6 linked regions of the Macaca fascicularis genome follow. The protein of the gene in region 5 purifies or fractionates together with the protein of the main gene of each other region. This does not show direct contact. Links are inferred from orthologs where the notes say so. Each region holds a gene or a part of one and is shown on either strand. Other genes may lie near its edges.

What was found.
Region 1: the proteins of TULP3 (region 5) and WDR19 purify together in Homo sapiens (affinity purification with mass spectrometry; 5 studies listed by BioGRID and IntAct, counting the BioPlex papers as one, with this or other methods). This does not show direct contact. The link is inferred for Macaca fascicularis from reciprocal best matches to the Homo sapiens genes TULP3 and WDR19.
Region 2: the proteins of TULP3 (region 5) and KBTBD7 purify together in Homo sapiens (affinity purification with mass spectrometry; 3 studies listed by BioGRID and IntAct, counting the BioPlex papers as one, with this or other methods). This does not show direct contact. The link is inferred for Macaca fascicularis from reciprocal best matches to the Homo sapiens genes TULP3 and KBTBD7.
Region 3: the proteins of TULP3 (region 5) and IFT122 purify together in Homo sapiens (co-immunoprecipitation; 6 studies listed by BioGRID and IntAct, counting the BioPlex papers as one, with this or other methods). This does not show direct contact. The link is inferred for Macaca fascicularis from reciprocal best matches to the Homo sapiens genes TULP3 and IFT122.
Region 4: the proteins of TULP3 (region 5) and IFT140 purify together in Homo sapiens (affinity purification with mass spectrometry; 5 studies listed by BioGRID and IntAct, counting the BioPlex papers as one, with this or other methods). This does not show direct contact. The link is inferred for Macaca fascicularis from reciprocal best matches to the Homo sapiens genes TULP3 and IFT140.
Region 6: the proteins of TULP3 (region 5) and SIRT1 purify together in Homo sapiens (affinity purification with mass spectrometry; 5 studies listed by BioGRID and IntAct, counting the BioPlex papers as one, with this or other methods). This does not show direct contact. The link is inferred for Macaca fascicularis from reciprocal best matches to the Homo sapiens genes TULP3 and SIRT1.

Annotation. Positions count from the first base shown.
Region 1 is NC_088379.1:38,553,481-38,557,074, reverse strand, and holds part of WDR19 (WD repeat-containing protein 19), read right to left. Parts: intron 2,796-3,594; coding exon 2,714-2,795; intron 910-2,713; coding exon 759-909; intron 1-758. UniProt on the Homo sapiens protein: As component of the IFT complex A (IFT-A), a complex required for retrograde ciliary transport and entry into cilia of G protein-coupled receptors (GPCRs), it is involved in cilia function and/or assembly.
Region 2 is NC_088391.1:20,547,958-20,552,184, forward strand, and holds the start of KBTBD7 (kelch repeat and BTB domain-containing protein 7), read right to left. Parts: upstream 2,845-4,227; 5' UTR 2,533-2,844; coding exon 475-2,532; 3' UTR 1-474. UniProt on the Homo sapiens protein: As part of the CUL3(KBTBD6/7) E3 ubiquitin ligase complex functions as a substrate adapter for the RAC1 guanine exchange factor (GEF) TIAM1, mediating its 'Lys-48' ubiquitination and proteasomal degradation.
Region 3 is NC_088376.1:153,970,242-153,974,531, forward strand, and holds the start of IFT122 (intraflagellar transport protein 122 homolog), read right to left. Parts: upstream 2,824-4,290; 5' UTR 2,705-2,823; coding exon 2,664-2,704; intron 1-2,663. Other genes in the region: MBD4 (methyl-CpG-binding domain protein 4), read left to right, coding at 3,216-3,319. UniProt on the Homo sapiens protein: As a component of the IFT complex A (IFT-A), a complex required for retrograde ciliary transport and entry into cilia of G protein-coupled receptors (GPCRs), it is required in ciliogenesis and ciliary protein trafficking.
Region 4 is NC_088394.1:2,271,632-2,275,196, forward strand, and holds the end of IFT140 (intraflagellar transport protein 140 homolog), read right to left. Parts: intron 1,207-3,565; coding exon 1,000-1,206; 3' UTR 503-999; downstream 1-502. UniProt on the Homo sapiens protein: Component of the IFT complex A (IFT-A), a complex required for retrograde ciliary transport and entry into cilia of G protein-coupled receptors (GPCRs).
Region 5 is NC_088385.1:3,800,677-3,804,270, forward strand, and holds part of TULP3 (tubby-related protein 3), read left to right. Parts: intron 1-1,423; coding exon 1,424-1,583; intron 1,584-2,932; coding exon 2,933-3,070; intron 3,071-3,594. UniProt on the Homo sapiens protein: Negative regulator of the Shh signaling transduction pathway: recruited to primary cilia via association with the IFT complex A (IFT-A) and is required for recruitment of G protein-coupled receptor GPR161 to cilia, a promoter of PKA-dependent basal repression machinery in Shh signaling.
Region 6 is NC_088383.1:78,647,452-78,650,424, forward strand, and holds the end of SIRT1 (NAD-dependent protein deacetylase sirtuin-1), read right to left. Parts: intron 2,625-2,973; coding exon 2,296-2,624; 3' UTR 506-2,295; downstream 1-505. UniProt on the Homo sapiens protein: NAD-dependent protein deacetylase that links transcriptional regulation directly to intracellular energetics and participates in the coordination of several separated cellular functions such as cell cycle, response to DNA damage, metabolism, apoptosis and autophagy.

The sequences.
Region 1 (3,594 bases), on a different chromosome or scaffold from region 5:
GTCCTGTGAGGCAGAGTACTGGCCACGGAGGTGAAAATTGAAGGTCCTGAGGATGGTACCTTCCTGAGCAAAAAGGAGAAGATCCCCCTGACTTCTCATTTCCCTACTTCTTCCTGCCTGGAACGAAGACGTGATGTCTGGGGGTGTGGCAGATGTCTTGCCACCATGAGGAGGAAACCTCTATGCTATGGATGGCAAAGCTGGAAGACAGGGGCATCTGGGTCTGGTGGCATCAAGGCACAGTGACACCAGCCCTGGACTGTGATGCCTTGCATATGAGTCAAATAAATACTGACTTGGTCAAGCTGCTGTTAGGTTTTCTGCTGCTTGGAGCTGAATACAATCCTAATTGCTATGCCCGCCTTTTTTTTTTTTTTGACATGGAGTCTCACTCTGTTGCCCAGGCTGGAGTGCAACAGCACAATCTCGGCTCACTGCAACCTCCGCCTCCAAGGTTCAAGTGATTCTCCTGCCCCAGCCTCCTGAGTAGCTGGGACTACAGGTGTGCGCTACTAGGCCCAGCCAATTTTTGTATTTTTAGTAGAGATGGGGTTTCATCATATTGGCCAGGCTGGTCTTGAACTCCTGACCTCAAGTGACTCGTCCACCTCAGCCTCCCAAAGTGTTGGGATTATAGGCGTGAGCCACTATACCTGGCCCCCTGCTGTTTTCTTATTGAACCCGCACATTGGCAGCTACATTTTGGGAAATGCCTTTGAGAAATGTGATTAGATAGCGAAATAGCTGTCTCTGCCTACCTGACCATTCCCTCGATCTTCTTTTTGTATTTGGCATCTATTTTGCTGCGGTATTCAGGCCTCATCAACATAGCTGCGAAGCTGAAAGCAGAGTTCTTCAGGCCTGCCCTGTGGCACTCAATCACAGTTGACGTCAGGATTGGTACAATGTCTGCAAGAGAAAATGGGAGAGCAGTAAGGGCACAGTGTCTCCTGTCCTCAGTGATACAGGCGGGACTCCACCCTGGTTCTGTAGGAAAACAGGGTCATAGCCTCTGAACTTTGCTTTTTCTGCAAAGAACCAGATATGATCTGTTTAATGAGGAAAGTACGTAGCCGTGGGGTCAGGCTAACTGCCCATCAATTGCTTTTCCTTTGATTACACCATGTTCTGCCTTGTAACGCTGGGACCTGCATCCTTTGAGGCAACACTTTGGTGAGTTTCCTTTCACACCTCTTAGATACATTTTTTTGCATCTGACAGGACTGCTGATAAAAGCATAAGGGGGATTAATGACTTTATGCACTAATCTCTCTGCAGGCATCAAATTCTTTCTTCAGGACAGACACCCAGAATTACTGGCTCAAAAACAGGACCTTTTAAAAAATACTCTTACCACAAATTGCCAAACTGCTTTCTGGAAAGGCCATACCAATCTCCATTCCCACCAGCAGTCATGAGAGTGCTTGTCCTATCCAACACTTTGCCCGCATGGTAGACTTTCATGTAACGATGACGACAAAAATACACTTAAGAGAATATGGGTTGGCCAATTATGACCCATGGACCAAATCTAGCCCTCTGACTTTTTATATGGCCCATGAGCAAAGTATGATTTTTACATTTTTAAATGGTTGAAAAAACATCAAAAGTATTTTTGTGACATGTTAAAAGTGTATGTGGTTAACATTCGTGTCCAAAAATAAAGCTCTACTGAAACACAGTCATGCCCATTGGTTTATGTATTATTCATGAGAAGATGGCAGAGTTGAGCAGTTGTGACACAGACCATATGTCTCACGAAGTCTAAAATATTTTACATCTGGCCCTTTACAGAAAAAGTTTGCTGATCCCTGTCACAATGTGACAGGATTTAATTATTTAAGAATGCTATCATGACATGGCTTTAAGAATAGTGGGGCCTTTTCAGAGGCAACACCCTACTGTGCTTGTGAACACAGAGTCAGACTATTATTAGCTGACAATGTGATCTCGGGCAAATGTTATTTCTTTTCTTTTGTCCCAGTTTGTGCAGAAAAGTACTTGTGTGTGCAGGCCTGAGACTGTCATCCTTGGAAAGGCTTGAACAGCTAACCCTTGGCTCGCATCTGGAACATAGATTTGGAGACGGTTCCCACCATTTCCAGAACTGATGAGTGGCTCACCGTGCCTAAAATCTTTGTACAAACAATGTGGTTTATGCTGAACACCTGCTCTTTGGGAGCCTGGAAAACTGGGTACATGCCAGGCAGGGGGTGCCTATGCGACCACACCCCAATAAAACTCCTGGCTGCTAAGTCTCTAATGAGCTTCTTGGCACTCTACGTTTCACCATGTTGTACAAGTCAGTCTTGGAGGAGTTACTGAACTTGCGTCCTGTGTGCTCCACTGTGAAGGGACTCTTGGAGGTCCGTGCCTGCACCTGCTCGCCTTTGGGCGAATCCTTCTGCTCATTTTGCCTCAGATGCTTTTGCTGTGGTAAATCTCAGCTTTGGTACTACCGTGTGTTGACTCTTGTAAATCCTCCCAGTGAAGAATCATCAAACCTGGGAGTGGTCTTGGGGCCCTGACATGCCACTTCACGGAGCTGCTGTGATAATTAAACGAGTTAGTGACAAGGGCCTGCACAAGGGGTGCCATGCACAAGGGGTGCCATGCCAGCGTGGGGCATGGGGCATGCGGCCTGGGGAGCCTGCACAAGGGGTGCTGTGCCAGCGTGGGGCATGGGGCATGCGGCGTGGTAAGTGGTACTTACGTGATGGAAATTTGCTGATGTTGTTGGCCACCCGAATAAGCATGCGAGCCCCTTTCATGTGATCTCCATTTTTAACATGAATCTGAAACAAATGACATATTTTACTCTTCTCATAGTCATTGATTAGCCCCAATTCATGGTTTGTTCCCCCAAATAACTCCTTGATTATGGCCCAGGATCACTGTGGGATCCTTGTAGACTTTCCTGGCTGATGCCACTGGAGATCCCTCTCTTTTTTCTCTTCAACAGCTGCTGCCTGGCTCCATGGCCTCACCTGCCTCACCTACTCTATGCTCTGCTTTTGACTTTGCCCTAGACCACTTGATATGGTTCAAATCCCCAGTCTATCTCTTACTGGCCATTCTTGGGGGACCAACTTCACCAAGTTGTGGTAAGACCTGAAAGCTGAGTGAGTCAGGAATCAGGCAGAAAGAAAGAGAATGATCTGCTAAAGGAAAGGGGCCCTGTCTGTGCTAAGAGGGCAATGATGGGCGGAAGGCCTCAGACTAGGCAAGGACCAGCAGGGTCAGTGACACATTGAGGGGTGCATTTAGGATGGGGTGAGCCTCGAGAGTCAGCAGGGGCAAGGCCATGAAGCCACTGCAGTCATCCAGGGGTGAGATAAGGAGGCTAAAAAGTGAGGCAGTGGGGAGGAGAGAAGCAGGCAGATGAGGGGTCAGGGCTGCTGATACTTGGTGAGAATGTGCAGGGTGAGTGTGGAATGACGCTAACGCTTGGGGCCAGAGAAAAAGAAAAGGATGAGAGAAGCACCCCTGTGGCTTATGGTGCTAGAAAGCTCTGTTGCAGGAGAGCCTCTGTCAGGAATTCCTATTTTTGCCCCACATCTTCCACCAATGTGTTTCCCCTCCCCCACTGCACTC
Region 2 (4,227 bases), on a different chromosome or scaffold from region 5:
ATTTTGAAAATCTACCACTTTATTTTGAAGGAAAGTATACATCCTTCAAAACTCCACCAACAATTCCTAGTCCAGTTTTCTATTGTACAGATTAAAAAGTTAAATTCCTTGTGGCACTAACCAAAACTTAAAAATTAACAGAAGACTGAATTAATTAAAAAAAAAAAAAGCATACTAACTAATCAAAACAATCCACTGTGCAATGAATATTTGAACAATGAAAAAAACCTACCAAGCATCCCAGTCAATTACATAGTTCTTGCTTCCATATTTTAATTTTGGACTTTCAGGAAGGTATATTATTAAACAGGTCGATTTTGTGGACTGTTTAAACCTTGTAGTATTTCAAAATATTACCCTTTCTAAACCAAATCTGTGGTCCTGGTCAACTTTTTTTTTTTCAAGAAAAAGAAAGGATATGTGTTTAAAATACATTCCGTAGCAGTAGAAACATCTTAGTGTCTCAAAATCTATTTACAAAGAACCCTGCTGATCCTGTGCATTTCGCTGAGGTGCTACTTGCACCCAGACTTCATCATCTGAAAAAGAACTTGAACTTCCTGACTCAGAGTCCAGCTCACTGAATCCATCTAAGTCCCATTCAGTACTAGACTCACTCCGTGCATCATCTTCCTCAGTAATAAAACTCTGACCAGGTTCAAGGCAGGAAGGATAAACACGGGCACAAAGGCAAATAAAGCCAGAGTCAAACTGCAAAAGGCCTAACATAGTACCTATATTAATCCACTGATCTTCCCTAGTATCATACTCATACACTGTTACTCGGTTCTTTTTCCATTGTGGGGTTGTAGAAGTGATGAGAAGCAACTTTCGGTCATGATTGACAATCTGGTAGTTGTGGGTCTCTGAATCCAAAGGAATATTACTAATCCGCCTCCATTCTCCCCTAGCTGGGTTGTAGACCTTCATGACTGGGATGTCACAGATACAATAGATTTCATCATTGAAGACACATGCTTCCTGAAAGTCACTGCGTTTAAGAGAAGCACAGTTCAGCCACATATTGTGGCTAGGATCATAGCAGAGCATGCGCTTACTGTTGACAGCATAAAGATAGTTCTGAACCACTATGAGTTCAAAGGAATAGAAGGAATGAGGGACAGGAGCCACCAATGCCCACTGGTTTCTCTGAACACTGTAGCATTCCACTTCCTTCAACTTAACTCCAGTAGTAGGGTCTCGCCCCCCCAAAATGTAGATGTAGCCATTGAGATATGCCACATCCATGCCCTCACGACACAGCAAGCGATCTGCAAGTTGCTGCCAACTATTCTGAGCTGGTTTATACACCCAGAGGTCTTTCCTTGGCTGGGCAGCTAGATAGATGTCATGGTCTGGGGAGACACAGACAGCTGAGGAGGTAACAGTCTTAGTGTGAGCAAAGCTGGTCAAAGGTGATGGCATTGTGTAAATGTCCCCTGAGTAAGGGTCATAGCAGAGAAAGGGATCTCTCGGGTGTCCAAAGAAGATCACCATCTCCTTGGCACACATACCCAGTCTCTGGGGTGGATTTTCTGCTGCAGATACAAGAGAGTTGCTGCTGCTACTGCTGCTGCTGCTGCTGTTTGGCACTGGCACCAGAGACTTGTACAACAGGTCACCATAGCGCATCTGCAGGGCCCCTTCAATAACGTCCAGGCAGTACTTCTTCACGATGGGCTTGGTCAGCAGCCCTTCTAAGTAGTCCTGATCTTCTTCAGTGAAGTGCATCCAGCGCACGCACTTGAAGACTTCCGCAGCACTGGGACCCCGCTCCTTGGGAGCAGCCTCCAGCCACTGCACAGCTACATGGCATACAGTCCGCTCACTCTCTATGTCCAGACTATCCAAGCGCAGGACAGCCAGCAGCTGGGCCAGGGTCAGATCTGCTAGAGTCTCTTCCCGAATTGAACCCATTCGGCTGAGCTGCTTGAAGTTCTGAGCTATATAGGACTGGGCCTGAGATCGAAGCTTGTGATGGTCGAAGGCGTCTGCAAACTTGAGGATGGCGGTGCAGTTGGTCAGGTCAAGACGTCGGGCTAAGAAGGAGGCACAGGCTTCCCGCACATACTCCAGTTGCAGCATGTCGGAGGCTGCGTACAGGCGCTGCACATTGGCCTCGCTGAGAGAGACACGACCCGTGTAGCAGTAGTCGACCAACACCTCGAAGGACTCGGCGTCCACATCGTGCATGGTCACGCTGGCCTGCTGGCTCTCGTACATGCCACCTGTGAACATGCTCTTGAAGTAGGGACACGCAGCTGCTAGCACGTTGCGATTGCAGGAAAAGAGGCGACCCGTGCCAGGCCCGCTGCCAGGCGTCACCACCTCGATGGTCACATCACACAGCAGCCGCGCGTCGTAGAAAGACTTGAGCTGTGCCAGCAGGGCTGCAGAATGGGCCGTGTCCTTTAATTCCTCTGGACCCGTGAAAAAGGCCGAAACCGAGGGCTTGGAAATCCTCTTGGGCCGCCTCCCACCGCGGGGGCTGGCGAGGCGGCGAGAGCGCGGGGCGTCTTCCCGGGACTGCATGGTGGAGATGGCGACGGGCGCTGATAGCGAGAAAGGCTGCCGGACCCGGCTCTGGCTCCTCCTCAACCTTCCCTCGCTGACGCTAAGACAAGCCGCGTCCTGGAACAGACTGCGGCACGGGCCGCACTTCTGAATTCAGCCTTAGCCCGCGGTGAGGTCTCCCTTTATTGCGTAGACAGTGGCTGACTCACCCTCTCTCACTCCCGCGCCCTTTCTCCGCCTCCGCTCGCCCTCACAGGACCCGCTGGCTTGGAGCCGCGGAAGGCCCCACTGCCGCGCTGGCGATCCCGCTAGGCGCCCAGGAGAACTACCGCTTCCAGGTTGCCTTTCGCGCCCCGAGGCCTGCTGGGGCTCTCGGACGGCCGGGCGGGGACAGAGGGAAAGAAACCGCTTTGCATGTTGGGAGTAGTAGTTTGTGTAATATCGCGAGCTTTCCTTTCGCTGACTGCCCTAACAGTAGAAATTAATTCTGGATATGATGGTGAAGTGACGATGTCTCACTATTGTTGTCCAGGCTGGTCTTGAACTCCTGAGGGCTCAAATTATCCTCCTGCCTCTGCCTCTCAAAGTGCTGGGATTACAGGCGTGAGCCACCGGGCCCTGCCAGTATTTCATAGGGTTTTGTGTGATTGAATGATACGTTACATAGGATACTTAGATACATGTATTTTTTTGGTTAGAAGAACAATAAAGCGTTACCCCGTGCCTAGAATGTAGCCAATAATTGTTAGATTCTCTTTTATAATTTATGATAAATGAGGCACCCACTAATTTGAAACCAAAAAATTTTTAAAATTTTTAAAATTATTTTAAACCGCAAAATTTTACAAAGAACTTAGTTTTTAATTTTTATTCTTTTGAAAGATTTTGAAGGGCATTAACTATTTTCAATGTTAAATGGTACGTATTGGCCTTGTTTAATAAGGATGTCTTAGACGACTAGGTTGAGGTCCTAAAGAACGGTGTTAATAGATGGCCTCAAATATGCAAATCGGGCATATAAAAATAGATTATTTGCTACTCTCACTAACATTTCATCTCTGGGGAGCAGGAATATTTTCATTAAGCTCCAAATATGAGTGTTTTCAAGTCGTCTAATACAGTCTCTTTCACTGCCATTCCACATATCAATTAACAGATTCTGTAATTGCCTTTATTAAGGAGTTTTAGGGAGTATTTAACTCAAAATATTTCAAGAAACAGACTTTGTTCTGTACAAAAGCACGTGATTCTCAGAATTCAGCATTAGTACATGCCCTGACATTCCTTGAATTAACATACAGTATAGCCTATGCTTTACAAAAGTCTTTTATATTTGCATTGATCAACAGTTAAATCATCAAAATCAAGTATTAGAGATTTGAGGCAGGAAAATAGGGTCTGGAGGCAGGGAACATAAGGCCGATTCACACTTTAGCTATAACAAGAAATACCCTCTCCATAGGGTGTATGCCGAGTAAATGAGTTTGTAACTTTAATTCATTCTCTTCGTTTACATAGGGTATACACCAAGTAACCAGTGAATCCTCTAGAGGGTATTTAAACCTCCAGGAATTCTGTAACAGGGCCCTTGAGCCCTGTGCTGGGCCTGCGCCCACACTGGAGTGTACTTTCATTTTCAGTACATCTCTGATTTTGTTGTTTCATTCTTTCCTTGCTTTGTTTATGTGTTTCTTCCAATTCTTTGTCCAAAAC
Region 3 (4,290 bases), on a different chromosome or scaffold from region 5:
GAGAGTTATAGCAGATGCTAGCCTGACTGGAATAGCCTAATAAGGCATCCTGGTTGAGATGAACCTGGAGCTGTGCATTTAAGGGAGAAAACTAGGGAGTTCATAGAATAAGGGAGCATTTGGGAAGGATAGAGTTTTCTGCTCAACCTAAAAGTATAAATTTAAATGCTGCAAGCCTAGTGGGGAGGAGGGTCAGGAGGACCCTCTAGCAAAATGCACAATTTTGACATGGAAAGTAATTGGGAATCACTCTAGGTTTATGAGAAGTAGAGTAACAGGATCACAGCAGCAGGTCTTAAAAAAAAGAGAGTTCCTGCTGCTATGTGAAGGTTAAAATAGAAGCAAAGGAGCAGACTGGGAGACGACGGCTGATTTGGATGTGGAGGACTAATCTTTGACATCTAGGATTTTTTTAGTTCTACTACCTTTTTTTTTTTTTTTTTAGTTTTTTGTTTTGTTTTCATTCTGGGCCATCAGCTGGTGGTATGATGGTCTATAGAACCCTACATCCCTTATCCTAATAGGTTGTTTCAAATCTGTAATGGGCCAAAAACCAGACAACCAATCTTTATTTATCATTCATTCACTCACTTATTCATTCATGTATGAATACATCTATCCGCAGCATTTCATTTTATATATATCTAGTATTTTATTACTACCCATAGTAACAACAACCACTGACCTGACTAGGCTCTAGAATAATTTGGAAACGAGTAAGACATAGCCACTGCCTTTAACGGGTTTATGACTTCCGAAATAAACAGATTTAAAAAATTAACTCTTACACTCAACAGACTTTGGAAGTACCACAAGAGAGAAATGAACGAAATTCTGTGCCAGGGGTTGAAAACAGAGCAAATCGGGCTGCATTTGGCCAGCAAATGTTTTATTTGGCCCACACAGTGTTTTGTTTTGTTTTTTTTCAGAGTAGATGCTAACATTTAAAAATTAGGCCATTTCACATAAAAACCCAGATTCCTAGCTTCTGGTGAAAACAGGAAGAGCTGAGCACACTAGGCCAAATTCCTGCATGGTGGTAATTGGCAGGAGCTGAGCAGCAGCTGCCCCTTTTAGGACAAGCATGAGTTCTGCAGTTTGCCACACTCCTTGCCACACTCTGTTACTCTCTGACATTGAAGCCAAATGTTCAGTTGCCTATCATCAGCTTGTGATATAGGTACGTTTATAATAAAGTTAAAAATAAAATGATTTTTTAAAACTCAAATCTCTATTAAAAGTACAAATGAAAGATTCACTGATAGGGCTGTGTGTTTCAAGAAAAATGGGGTATAGAATACAAGACTATTCCTAAGGAAAACATACAATTCCTAGTGTTTAAGATGCAAATAGACATCTCCCATTTATGTTACCTGTCTATCTCCTGCAGACATTTGAGTTTGCCACCTCTGTAATATAAGGAAAAATTAATGTAGGGGCTGAGAGCATTGACGTTGGAGTGAGGAAGACCTGGGCTTGAAAGCTGGCTCCACCCCTCACTGTGTTACCTTGGCAAATTACCCACCCTCTCTGTGCTTCAGTTTCCTCATACATAAAATAGAGGAAATTATAGTACCTACCTCAGAAAGTGGTGAACAGAGACAACGAGATGAAGGATAAGAAGTGCTTAGCGAGACCTGGCACATAATGTCAGCTACCACTAGTGCTGAACACAAAAGAGAGGACCCGTCTCCAACGTGAGCCTTGAAGGATGTGCAGGATTTCCGTGTGAGATGAGGAGAGAGGGCATGCTTCACACAGAGAAAGATCTCAGAAAGGACTGAACCAAAGACAAGTAACCTGCTCCAGTGGCCAGAACAGAGGCTTCACAACAATGTTGAATGATTTTCAAAGTCAGGCCGAGACCTATCCCATAAATAAGTGTATGACAAAACAGACTATATTATAGATTTAGCCAATAACAATGGAATAGGACATTAAATAACTGAATCAAAAGGTGACAAAGTTATTCACCTTCAATTCTTTTTCAAACTTCCCAATTAGGAGAGCTTGTGTTTGATGCTCATTTTGAGCACCTCTCTGATCATACCTGCCAATCTCCAATTTTAGAGAAACGAGATACCAGGTTTAAAGGCTCCCTAGCAACAACAGCTAGCTACAGCCTGTTCAGTTTTGTTTCTCCCTACTTTAAGTTTTACTTTTACACTTAGAGCAAGTGACGCTGATTTTATCTTAACACTTAGAGCAAGTGACACTGGTTTTCATAAATGGAGTAATAAAGTTTCCTTGTAAAATGTGAAATCATAATTAAAATAAATGAGACAATTTAGAGAAAAACGTCAAGTAAACAAGAGTACGGGTACTATGTGGAAGTGGCAAGAACTGCGAAGCTTGAGCAGCTTCGTGCTGTGTCGTGGGTGTGAGACGAACCCAAGGCAGCGACAAGGCCAGACCGTGAGGGAAGAGCCGCCTCCACCGGCACTACCTCCAGGCGCGGCACCTCCCTTTGCCGCTCTCCAACCCTCAGGAGTTTCGCCAACCGCCAAGGGGCGGGAGGGTGACCCTGCAGTCTCCCAGGCCGGGGTTCAGTGCCCTCGGCCCAGGCAGCAAGCTCGCTGCCACCCTCAAACACGCTGCAGCGGCTCGCGCAGTCCCCGCTGGGACTCGACCTCCCGCTTTTCGCGGACCGCCCGGCTTCTCACCAGTGCTCGGCTTTATCTCTCCACGTCAACACGGCCCTCATCGCGGCTTCCCTTACGCCTCGGGCTCCTCCTCTCCGCCTCAGCGTCTGTCTCAGCAACCGCCTCACTAACGGTAGCCACGCCACAAGCCACTTTGGCTACCTGCGTTGCCCCTGGCAACGTACATGCGCGGTAAGCTGAGCGCGAGGTCGCCTTCCTCCGAGTGCGCATGTCCGAAAGGCAAAGCGAGAAAAGCAGCAAAAGCTAGGGTGGAACTGGAGCCCCTAAGGCATCTGCGCAACCAGAGCGCGCGCGATTGGTTGGGGTTTGTGGGGGCGGTGCGCCTTCCTCGACAATGGATTTGATTGGTGGAGCGTGGAAATGGCGGCTGTAGCCGAGGGGGCGGCCGAAAAGCAGGGGCGGCCGAAAAGCAGCGGCGGCGTCTGGGCCACTTTCGCAACATTCAGACCTCGGTTGCAGCCCGGTTCCGTGAGCTGAGGTTTCACATCTTACTCCGCCCCACACCCAGGGCTTCGCAGCGCTGGGCTCGTTGCTGCAGCCGGAGCCTGCTCGATGGGCACGACTGGGTCGGAGAGTCTGAACCTGGGGGACCGCGGAGCTGCCCCCACCGTCACCTCTAGTGAGCGCCTAGTCCCAGATCCGCCGAGTGACCTCCGGTAAATTACTGTTCCCTTTTGGGCCTCAGTTTCACCGCCTGTAAAACGGAATCGGGAGAGTGGACGGTGTGTGGGCCTTTCTAACCTTGGACAGAGGGTCGGCAGAGACCTCGAAGCCCACGGGTTTAGTTACTAGGGGCTGGAGCTCAGGTGCTTTTCCTGTGGGATCAGTCCTGGGGTGCGCCCGACTTCCTCATCCAAGATGACCAGGGAGACTTGAGGGGGAGCCAGGAGGTTTTGTGCAAGAGGTCCCCTTGAGTTGGAGGATCCTAGGAAGTTATTTGAGTACATGTATGATAGGAGGTTAAGATTTACCTACTTTTTTCGAAATTGAATCCTAAGAACTACTTTGAAAGAGGCATCACCTTCTTTTTACAGAAAGTATTTTACAGGGACTTTGAGATGTTAAGTAACTTGCTGCTAAACTTAACAGCTGGCGGAGCTGGGATTTGAGCCCCAGTCTCTTTAATAGTTTGTGCTGATTTCACCAGGCTTCAGTATCTTTATCTCTAAAATTGTAAACAGTATCATTTCATAAGATCTGCCCAGCTCCGCAAAATTATTTTACCCCAACTTACATCAGAAAACCTTGATTCTAATTCTAGTTCTTGCATAGTTTCCCTATTTGTAGAAAATAACTTGGGTTAAATGATCTCTCTAGACCCATCCAGCTTTTACAATCTGTGGTTTAGTGATTAGGATACACTTTACTGAAATTTTTCTTTTTTTAATTTTTAAATTATGTTTTCATCATAGAAGACACACTGGAACATTAATGAAGTTTTAGTTTAGTTTAGTTTTTTGTTTTTTTGAGATAGGGTGTCACTCTGTCACCCAGGCTGGAGTTCAGTGGCACAATCATAGCTCCCTGAAGCCTTGACCTGCCGGGCTCAGGCAATACTCCTGCCCCCAGCCTGCTTAGTAGCTGGGACCACAGGTATGCGCCATCACGCCCGGCTGCTTTTTTTTTT
Region 4 (3,565 bases), on a different chromosome or scaffold from region 5:
CTCCCTAGTCCCTGGAGGCCTCCCCAGGGCCACCCCCGCCGGCAGCAAGGAAGGTGGCCCGGCAGCGGTCTGGAGCAGCGGAGCCAGGCTTTGTAGCGAGGTCAGGTCGGCGGCAGCATCCGGTTCGGAGAGTGCAGATGCAGGAAGGCCCGGCCTGCCGCTATTTATAGTGCAGCAAGTCTGCTAAAAATACACTGGGCCTGGGCACTGCCCGCCGGGACATGGCAGCCTGGACGTGGGGCTGTGGCCAGGGCCGTGGGCGTTGCTGGTGGGGGTGACTCCTCCAGTGAGGGCAGAACCAGGCCGGCAGGAGGGGAGGACGGTGTGCCTGCTGCTCAGAGCCCGCAAGGCACTCCTGTGAGCGCCACCAAGCAGGACAGAGCAGCTCTTGTCCCAGGTTCCTCGGGCTGAGCGCCGTGTCACCAGGAGAATCGTGCTCGCGGCCCAGGCAGGGCGTGTGGCTCCTGGATGGGCTTGTGGGGCGGGTGGACAGGACACGGGCTCCCAGAAAATAAACTACTTTATTGGAATTGCAGGAGTGTTGGTGGCCGGTGGGCAGAGCCTAGTGGGGGGTGCAGCCACCAGGGCCCGGGTGTCCCAGCTGTTGCTCAGGAGCCGTGGGTCTTGCAGGAGTGTGGGGGGATGTGATGTGTGGGGGCAGGTGCCCCAGCCCTCCAGCTGTAGCTTCCTAACCGAGGTTCTACAAGTTTCTCAGGCTTTACAGTGTGTAGTTGGGAGAATATGATGGAAGGGTGAACCCGACTCCCTTTAAAGGAACGAATCCACAAATCTACGGAGCTGCCGGCACCCGGAGGCAGCAAGGTGCAGATGGGGCACAGCCTCTGCCGGCCCGGGCCGCTGCGCTCCCGCCCAGCTCTGTTGCGTCTTCCATCACAGACGTGTTTTTTCCCAGTGAAAAGCTGGCTTTGCTGCAGCTGACTGGAAGATTCCAGAAGGTGCCTTCCTGCAGCAGCACGCTGGTCCTGGGGCCCAGGCCCGTCAGGGGTCGTCGTCTGCCTCTTCCACCACCTCCTCGTCCGGCTCCCTGGGGTCCTCCATGCTGTTGTGGCGGACCCGCTCGGGCACCGTGCGTGGCAGCGGGAGACCCAGCCCCTGGTGCACGGCGTCCACAGCCCGCGGGCTCACGTAGTAGGACATGTTGGCCAAGGGAAGCCGCCGCCGCATCTCCTCCAGGAATCTGTAGGCCTGGGGCAGAGGAGCAGATGTTACTCAGCTTTCCTCAACAACCGGGCACGACTCTCTGCCCGCAGGCCAGGCACATGCTGCTGCCCCTGGAGGCGGGTGGGGTGCCTCCCTGCTAGAGGACACGGTGCACTGAGGCTTCCCAGTGGTGATGGGGGGATGCGGTGCCCGCGGACCGCACATGTGCCATGTGTGGATGGTTAACAGGAAGCTTCGGTTGGCCTTTCAGCTGGAAATGCAGAGCCAGGGCCCTGGAAAGTCCCCAGCAGCTGTGCACAGAGGCCTGCCCCCCCTGTGTGCGCGGGCAGAGCCTCCCGGGGCGGCAGAGGCCCTGTGCTTTGCACTCAAGTCTTGGGAGTGGACATGCATGTCAGACTGGAGGGCAGGCAGCAATATCTAGTGGTTTGTCTTGGGTATTATTATTTTTTTGAGATGAAGCCTCAGCTATTAAGATAGAATAAGCTTGTTGAATGGCCCCTCCCATCACCCGCAGTGGACCTGTATTTAAGGAAGGCCTCAGCTGGGGTGGGCGCTGGTGGAGTGCAAGCCTTCCACGCAGTCTCGAATCAGAGGGTGAGGGCAAACATCTACAACTGAAAAGATGCTGCCTCAGATGTTGACAAACCACTCTGCCATGTGCCGGGCACTGTGCTGGGGACACAGGGGACACAGGACATAAGGACACGGGAGAACAAGCTTGGCTAATGCTGTAGCGGGGAGTCCAGGTCAGGCTGAGGTCCTGCAGTGGCAGAATTCAGAGAAGGGTCGGCACAGGGAGAGAGGGAGAGGAAGGAGCTGGCCAGGGTCGAAGAGGGACCCTGTGGTCAGAAAGGGCCAGTGTCCTCCTGATGCAACCAGGGCCTAGCGTGTGTGACTGCTCTGTGCGCAGAGCTAGCTTTGGAGAGGGCAACGAAGTGGTTTCCAGAAGGCAGGCAGAGGGTGCAGAGGGCAGGTGAGGGGTGATGGGGGGCAGGACGGGTGGTGTAGGTGGGTGAGGGGCAGTGGGCGGGACGGGTGGCGTAGGTGGGTGAGGGGCGGTGGCGGGGCAGGACGGGTGGCGTAGGTGGGTGAGGGGCGGTGGCGGGGCAGGACGGGTGGCGTAGCTGGGTGAGGGGCGGTGGCGGGGCAGGACGGGTGGCGTAGGTGGGTGAGGGGCGGTGGCGGGGCAGGACGGGTGGCGTAGGTGGGTGAGGGGCGGTGGGGGGCAGGACGGGTGGCGTAGCTGGGTGAGGGGCGGTGGCGGGGCAGGACGGGTGGCGTAGCTGGGTGAGGGGCGGTGGCGGGGCAGGACGGGTGGCGTAGGTGGGTGAGGGGCGGTGGCGGGGCAGGACGGGTGGCGTAGGTGGGTGAGGGGCGGTGGGGGGCAGGACGGGTGGCGTAGCTGGGTGAGGGGCGGTGGCGGGGCAGGACGGGTGGCGTAGCTGGGTGAGGGGCGGTGGCGGGGCAGGACGGGTGGCGTAGCTGGGTGAGGGGCGGTGGCGGGGCAGGACGGGTGGCGTAGGTGGGTGAGGGGCAGTGGGCGGGACGGGTGGCATAGGTGGGTGAGGGGCGGTGGCGGGGCAGGACGGGTGGCGTAGCTGGGTGAGGGGCGGTGGGCGGGACGGGTGGCGTAGCTGGGTGAGGGGCAGTGGGCGGGACGGGTGGCATAGGTGGGTGAGGGGCGGTGGGGGGCGGGACGGGTGGCGTAGGTGGGTGTGGGGCAGTGGGCGGGACGGGTGGCATAGGTGGGTGTGGGGCAGTGGGCGGGACGGGTGGCGTAGGTGGGTGAGGGGTGGTGGGGGGCAGGACGGGTGGCGTAGGTGGGTGAGGGGCGGTGGGGGGCAGGACGGGTGGCGTAGCTGGGTGAGGGGCGGTGGCGGGGCAGGACGGGTGGCGTAGCTGGGTGAGGGGCGGTGGCGGGGCAGGACGGGTGGCGTAGGTGGGTGAGGGGCGGTGGCGGGGCAGGACGGGTGGCGTAGGTGGGTGAGGGGCGGTGGGGGGCAGGACGGGTGGCGTAGCTGGGTGAGGGGCGGTGGCGGGGCAGGACGGGTGGCGTAGCTGGGTGAGGGGCGGTGGCGGGGCAGGACGGGTGGCGTAGCTGGGTGAGGGGCGGTGGCGGGGCAGGACGGGTGGCGTAGGTGGGTGAGGGGCAGTGGGCGGGACGGGTGGCATAGGTGGGTGAGGGGCGGTGGCGGGGCAGGACGGGTGGCGTAGCTGGGTGAGGGGCGGTGGGCGGGACGGGTGGCGTAGCTGGGTGAGGGGCAGTGGGCGGGACGGGTGGCATAGGTGGGTGAGGGGCGGTGGGGGGCGGGACGGGTGGCGTAGGTGGGTGTGGGGCAGTGGGCGGGACGGGTGGCATAGGTGGGTGAGGGGCGGTGGGGGG
Region 5 (3,594 bases):
TAACACCTATTCATTCTTGATGGTATATTCCGTATTGGCACGTTATCTTAACTCCCCAGTCTTTTCCCTCTGTACACGAGCTATTGAATTAATCAGTGTGCTCTCATCAGGCCAGTTCAGGAAAAACACACTTCCTTTTTTGATAGTCTCGCCCCTTGGAGTGACTCTTCTTCCTGGAGGCACTTTTTAGAAACAGTATCAATGGAAAAAAGTAAACAGATGGCTTCTTTTGCCTGAAAAACAGTAGTAAGTGGGTTATGATATCTTTGTTTTTTAATCATGTCTTTATTTTTTAGCATGGGGCTTCACATGTTTCCTATTCTGAGTTATCCCAGATCCATAATAATTGCTATATATTATAAGCCCTTATTTGCCAAAAGGTACTAGTACTATGTGCTAGTACTCTCCATTTCGTTGGTTTTTTATTCTCAGGGTCTGTCATCCGTTTTTCCTGACTTTTCTTGCTACCATAGTCTTTATCTTGCTTTTATTCAGAGTTGACCGCTTTGTATTTGGTATGTTCCAACTGCCATTTTTTTCTTCTCACCCTTGATCCAAATTTGATTTCTAATATTATATAAGATAAATAAGAATGCCAAACTTACTGCTTTTTGACTAATTAGAACATGGAAATAATTTGAGTTTTAGAGAATAATAAAGTTTTTTTCTTCCATTTACAAAAGTGAGAAAACTTTGGAAAAAAAAAAAAGACTAGAAAAGAGAAAATAATCATGCCATAGTCTAGCACCTGAAGAAACCCCCCTTGCTCTGTTCCTCCATCTTCCCCCCGTGCATGTGTGTTTGTATGTTTTGAGCTTGTAATCACATTGTGATAATGCTGTGATGATTCCCATACATCTTTAGTAGACTTGGTTGGAAATGCATTGTGTGGGGCAGGTGCAGTGGCTCACACCTGTAATCCCAACACTTTGGGAGGCCAAGGCACCAGACTGCTTGAGCTCAGGAGTTTGAGACCAGCCTGGGCATTATGGGGAAATCCTGTCTCTACAAAAATACAAAAATTAGCTGGGCGCGGTAGCACACACCTGTAGTCCCAGCTATTCAGGAGGGTGAGCCAGAAGGATCGGGCGCACCTTGGAGGTCGAGGCTGCAGTGAGCTGTGATAGTGCCACTGCACTCAGCCTGGGCAACCAAGTGAGACTCTGTCTCAAAAAAAAAGAAAAAAAATGCATCATGTGATTTTAAATAGATCTTTATAGGTGTTAGGTGTTCAAAAGTATTTGTTAAATGAAATGATTGAATCCTTACTCCTCTCTGTGCCTCAGTTTTCCCATTTCTTAAACGGGGAAATAATAATTTACAAGATGTTTTGTGAGGATCAGTGAAAAACAAACTAAATGTTGGAAGTGGCTAGGTCATGTCAAAACTCTACTTGCTGGCTATCATATCGCTTTTTTCCCAGAGGCTACTACTTGAGAAGAGGCAGAGGAAAAAGCGCCTTGAGCCGTTTATGGTGCAGCCCAATCCAGAAGCCAGGCTACGGCGGGCGAAGCCAAGGGCCAGTGACGAGCAGACTCCCTTGGTGAACTGTCATACTCCCCACAGCAATGTCATCTTACATGGTGTGTATTTAGGCAGCATCACTTCCTGCTGGGGTACAGTTTTCACAAACCTAGCAGGCAGGAGGATTCTCAGACGGACCAAAGGGACAATATTATTAGCACCATTACTAGGTACCTTCACAAATCTTTATAAACACATTTGGGGTCTTTGAGGAGAATAAAAGCAATATAATCAGTGCAAGATGCCTTAAGGTTTGTGTCCATTTTAGAACTGTTGTTTTCTTTTCTTTTTTCTTTTTTTTGAGATGGAGTTTTGCTTTCATTGCCCAGGCTGGAGTGCAAAGGCAAGATCTTGGCTCACTGCCAACCTCCTTCTCCTGGGTTCAAGTGATTCTCCTGCCTCAACCTCCTGAGTAGCTGGGTTTACAGGCGCCTGCCACCACGCCCGGCTAATTTTTTTGTATTTTTAGTAGAGACGGGGTTTTACCATGTTGGCCAGGCTTGTCTAGAACTCCTGACCCAGGTGATCCACCTGCCTCGGCCTCCCAAAGTGCTGGGATCACAGTCTTGAGCCACCGTGCCCGGCAAGAACTGTTGTTTTCTAGATGCCAGATGAATAGTTTAGAATGACCTATTTGAGGAGTTTTTGATTGTTAAATCATGGCAGAGGTGAATCATGAAGCCAAGAATAGGTAGAGAGCATCCATTCTTCCAATAGATAGTTCAAAGGACCATCTGAGATGGTAAGGGGTGGAGGAAGAATAAGATTGTAAGTTCCTCTAAATCAAGCCACCTGAGCTATTGGCTTGGACAGGATCTGTACTATGGAGGACCTACTTTGTTTTCTTGGTCTCATTCTTAAGTTTCTGAAGTACATATAACTTCAGTTACTAAAGTACAAGTACATATTACTTTAGTAACAGAGCATGTTAATAAAATGAACACCAGGCTGGGCATGGTGGCTTATGCCTCTGATCCCAGCACTTTGGGAGACCAGGCAGGTGGATCGCTTAAGGCCAGGTGTTTGAAACTAGCCTGGGCAACATAACAAAATTCCATCTCTACGAAAAAATTAAAAATTAGCCAGGCGTAGTAGCACACACCTGTAGTCCCAGCTACTTGGGGGACTGAAGTGGGAGGATCATTTGAGCCTAGGAAGTCGAGGCTACAGTGAGCTGTGATTACACCACTGCTCTCCAGCCTGGGCGACAGAGTGAGATCCTGTCTCAGAGAAAAAACACCAGTTCTGACCTACTCTCTTAACACATGTTCTTATGGATGTTAAGAAAGGAGGGGAGATAAAGTGATTCGGTAGTTCTTAATTCTGATCACATATGCCAAATCCACCCAACTAAATAGTGAATAATACTTTGCTCCTTTTTTAAAATTCATTTTATTTTGTCCCCTAGGTATTGATGGTCCAGCTGCTGTCCTGAAACCAGATGAGGTTCGCACTCCGTCAGTAAGCTCCCCTGCTTTGGAAGAAGATGAAAACAGCGTGGGCACGGCTTCCAAGCCAGGACTTCAGGAGAGTCTCCAGAAGCATGGTGAGGACTGGCAAAGATTTTAAGGCAATTTGTCTTCTTACTCATTTGTCATCTTTTCCTTTCTTTTCATTGTGGTTAACAATCCACATGACTCCAAATTACTCACGGCTTAGGGCCTCACGGGGGTGACAGTATTAAGCATCTTTTACATCTGAATGTTGGTAATTGTCAGCAATGGTAGTATTTATACTATTGCCTGAGAAAAAGAAGATAATTAAATCTAAACTACTAGCTACCATAGATGACTGTTTCTCTCTTTTTGACTATTTTCGGTTCCCACCGTCTCCTTCTGACAGAGTTGTCACTCAGCCCTCTACTCCACCTCCGTTTCATAGTTGGTGATGATTGATAGCCTTTCTTCTAGTTGGAGCTCTCATTTCCATAAATATTCCCATACATTTCAAAGGTCCCTTGTAGTCTTTCCTTTTTACAAAAATAATTTTATAATGAGAAGGGATTAAGCATCCCCTTTTCAGATGAGAAAACTGAAGCCCAATAATGAATATCTATTGGGTACCTTCTTT
Region 6 (2,973 bases), on a different chromosome or scaffold from region 5:
CACTGCTGGCCTCTTCAAGAGTACTTTCTCCCTCAAAATAAGTAGGTTCTCAGGTCAGCCTCAAAAAGTTGATACCAAATGTCGTCTGTAGTCTTTGGACTTAAAAGACCTGGCATCCAAGAACAGATTTTCAGTTAACCCAGCCTTTGTATCACATGGATTTTCACTATCCACCACTTCCTGTTCTCTCTCGAATCCCAAACTTCTGGTCCTTTATCATAGGACATTGTCACATCCTTCTTAGGCCCTGCCCTGCCTTTTCCCCACATTTTACTTGCTCAGGCCTCTAGCCTAAAATGGTTGAAATAGTTCTGAAATGCTTGGTGGTGATGCATCGCCTGCTATGATCAGCACCATCAGTGTTTGCAAGTACTGGTCTGGTGAGACTAATGTAATAAACTGAATGAAGAAATGTAGTATGAGAAAGAAAGCATCTAATACTATAGCATTCGAAGCTGTACAAATTCTGCAAGATTTAAAAATTATATACCTTAAACAATGTAAGTTAACAGAAAAAAAGTCAAATGACAGTTTTAATAGACTTTAAAACAGTGTACAAGTAAAAAAACACTGGTTTTGTATTTCAAAAGTTGAAGGAAGATATCCAGTCATTAAACAGTCTACAAAACATATGCCAGTAGATTACATAAAAGACTATGTACAATATAAAAAGAGCTGAAAACAGTCTTCACTGTAAAAATAATTTAAAACAAACTTTTCAATTTAAAATATTATCTATAGCACAAACACATCATGCAAATGGAAAACTAAATATACTGCATTCTTTAGTGTAGCCAAATAAATTCAGATTCAGACATCTTTTAAGTAGGGAAATGGCCATTCAGATACGATTTTTTTTCTCTGGCAGTAATGGTCCTAGCTGGGTATTTTATGCATAAAGAACAGCTATATTTCAAACCCTTTTTATTGTAATAAATACTAAAGCAACAGAGGAATACTTTATTAATTTGGGAGTAATGTTCAAAAATGGTCTGAAAAATAAATGCTTACGGTGCAATTTCATAAAGTATGAACTTCTTGAAAGACTAGAAGCTTTTGCAGCTGAGAAAGTTGATCTCTAGTTTTAAGGCAGGCTAAGCTTTTAAATAAAGATAAATTATAAGAACTAGTTTCATTCATTAACTATTCTGCTATTACAAGTTACATCATGTTCATCTCCATAATACTAGGCTAGCAGTTTGGTATTTAACACCAAATCCTCCCAATGGAAGGAGACATGTACTTTCTGGCTGAGTTATAATTAACATCTTATTACTTTGGAACTGTAATCAGGGGCCTGTTGCTCTCCTCATTAATGGAAAACAGCAGTCCAAAATATTACACTCTCCCCAGTAGAAGTACCATTATTATAGATTCGGAAAGGCTTTGCATATTCACATTTTGGCAGTTTAATACTTGTGGAAAAGATCAATGCAAGCTCTACCACAGTGATAGGTATTTAAACAACAATGGCAAATATTTCAAAACTAAGGGGATCCAGGCAGGCACTATTGTTTCTAAAGCAACTGAAACATTTCCAAAGCATTTATTTGTTTTTCAGGTTAGTTTTATGAGCCAATATAGACATTACTACATGTCCACAGGAAGTACAAAAGCCATCTTCATTTGAACATAAATACAATAATCCTGAAATTCTTAGCACCAAGTATTACTTTTAAAAGTAAAGACAACCGAGTGCCCTCCCACCTATTGTCGACTTCCTTCTACTCACATTGCATGTCATTTGAGATTTTAAAAAGTTAGCTGCCACAAGTTTTGGAAAATGCCAGTGTTTAAAAATAAGTAATTGTGTTAAAGAATCAAAAGTTTAGAGTTAACAGATTTTGAGTACTTCAAACCATTCAATGTTACAAAGAAAAGTGAAAATACCATTCTTTGGTCTAGATAAGCTGTTCCCTTTACATTAATTTAACATTCCGATGGCTTTTTGAAAACTTTAAAAATGTTGAAACTCACTAGACAAAAACAAAAATTATATATACATATGAATTTATCATACAAATGAATCTTTAAAAGAAAGTTAGTCTTGACCAACAGCTGATTAAAGATACTTAGTACCTTTTTTTTAAAAAAAAAAAAGTTAGTGTTGAATTTGTACAAGTACAGAAATAATGAAGTTAAAAATTATCCATGAAAAACAATCTATTTTACCAATCTATAAATATTACCTTTCTGGTTTCCTTGCTCTATCGAGTTCACAAGTAAACATTCATTTTGACATGCTAAAGTTCCTAATGCTGGTGGAACAATTCCTGTACCTGCACAATTATTACACTATGATTTGTTTGATGGATAGTTCATGTCTGTTACTTCCTGTTTCATAGATATAGCTTCATTAATTGCCTCTTGATCATCTCCATCAGTCCCAAATCCAGCTCCTCCAGCTCTCTCTGGAATATCAGGCTCATCTTCTAAGCCATTGTAGAATTCTTCAATTTCACTTTCATCCTCCATGGGTTCTTCTAAACTTGGACTCTGGCATGTCCCACTATCACTGTTACTGCCACAAGAACTAGAGGATAAGACGTCATCTTCAGAGTCTGAATATACCTCAGCGCCATGGAAAATGTAACGATTTGGTGGCAAAAACAGATACTGATTACCTGAAATATAATGATGAAAACGTTACTTTCAGTTTTCTAAGTCTGAGCAGTCTGGAATGAAGTGTGGGTACCAGCTCTGCCTTTTATAAGTGTCCTTATGAAAGACTACCATTAGTGTTTAAAAACAACTGGGAGGCCATGATGTGCCTGCAGTTCCAGCTACTCAGGAGGATGAGGCGGGTGGACTGCTTGAGCCCAGGAGTTCAAGGGCCAGCCTAGGCAACACAGTGATGGCCTGTCTCTTAAAAAGTAATTAAATACAAGCAATACACTTAGTCCTGGGTTCAAATCTTAGTTCTGCCATTTATTATATCTTTGCAAATTTGTAAGTGTACCTCTGTGCCTCAAC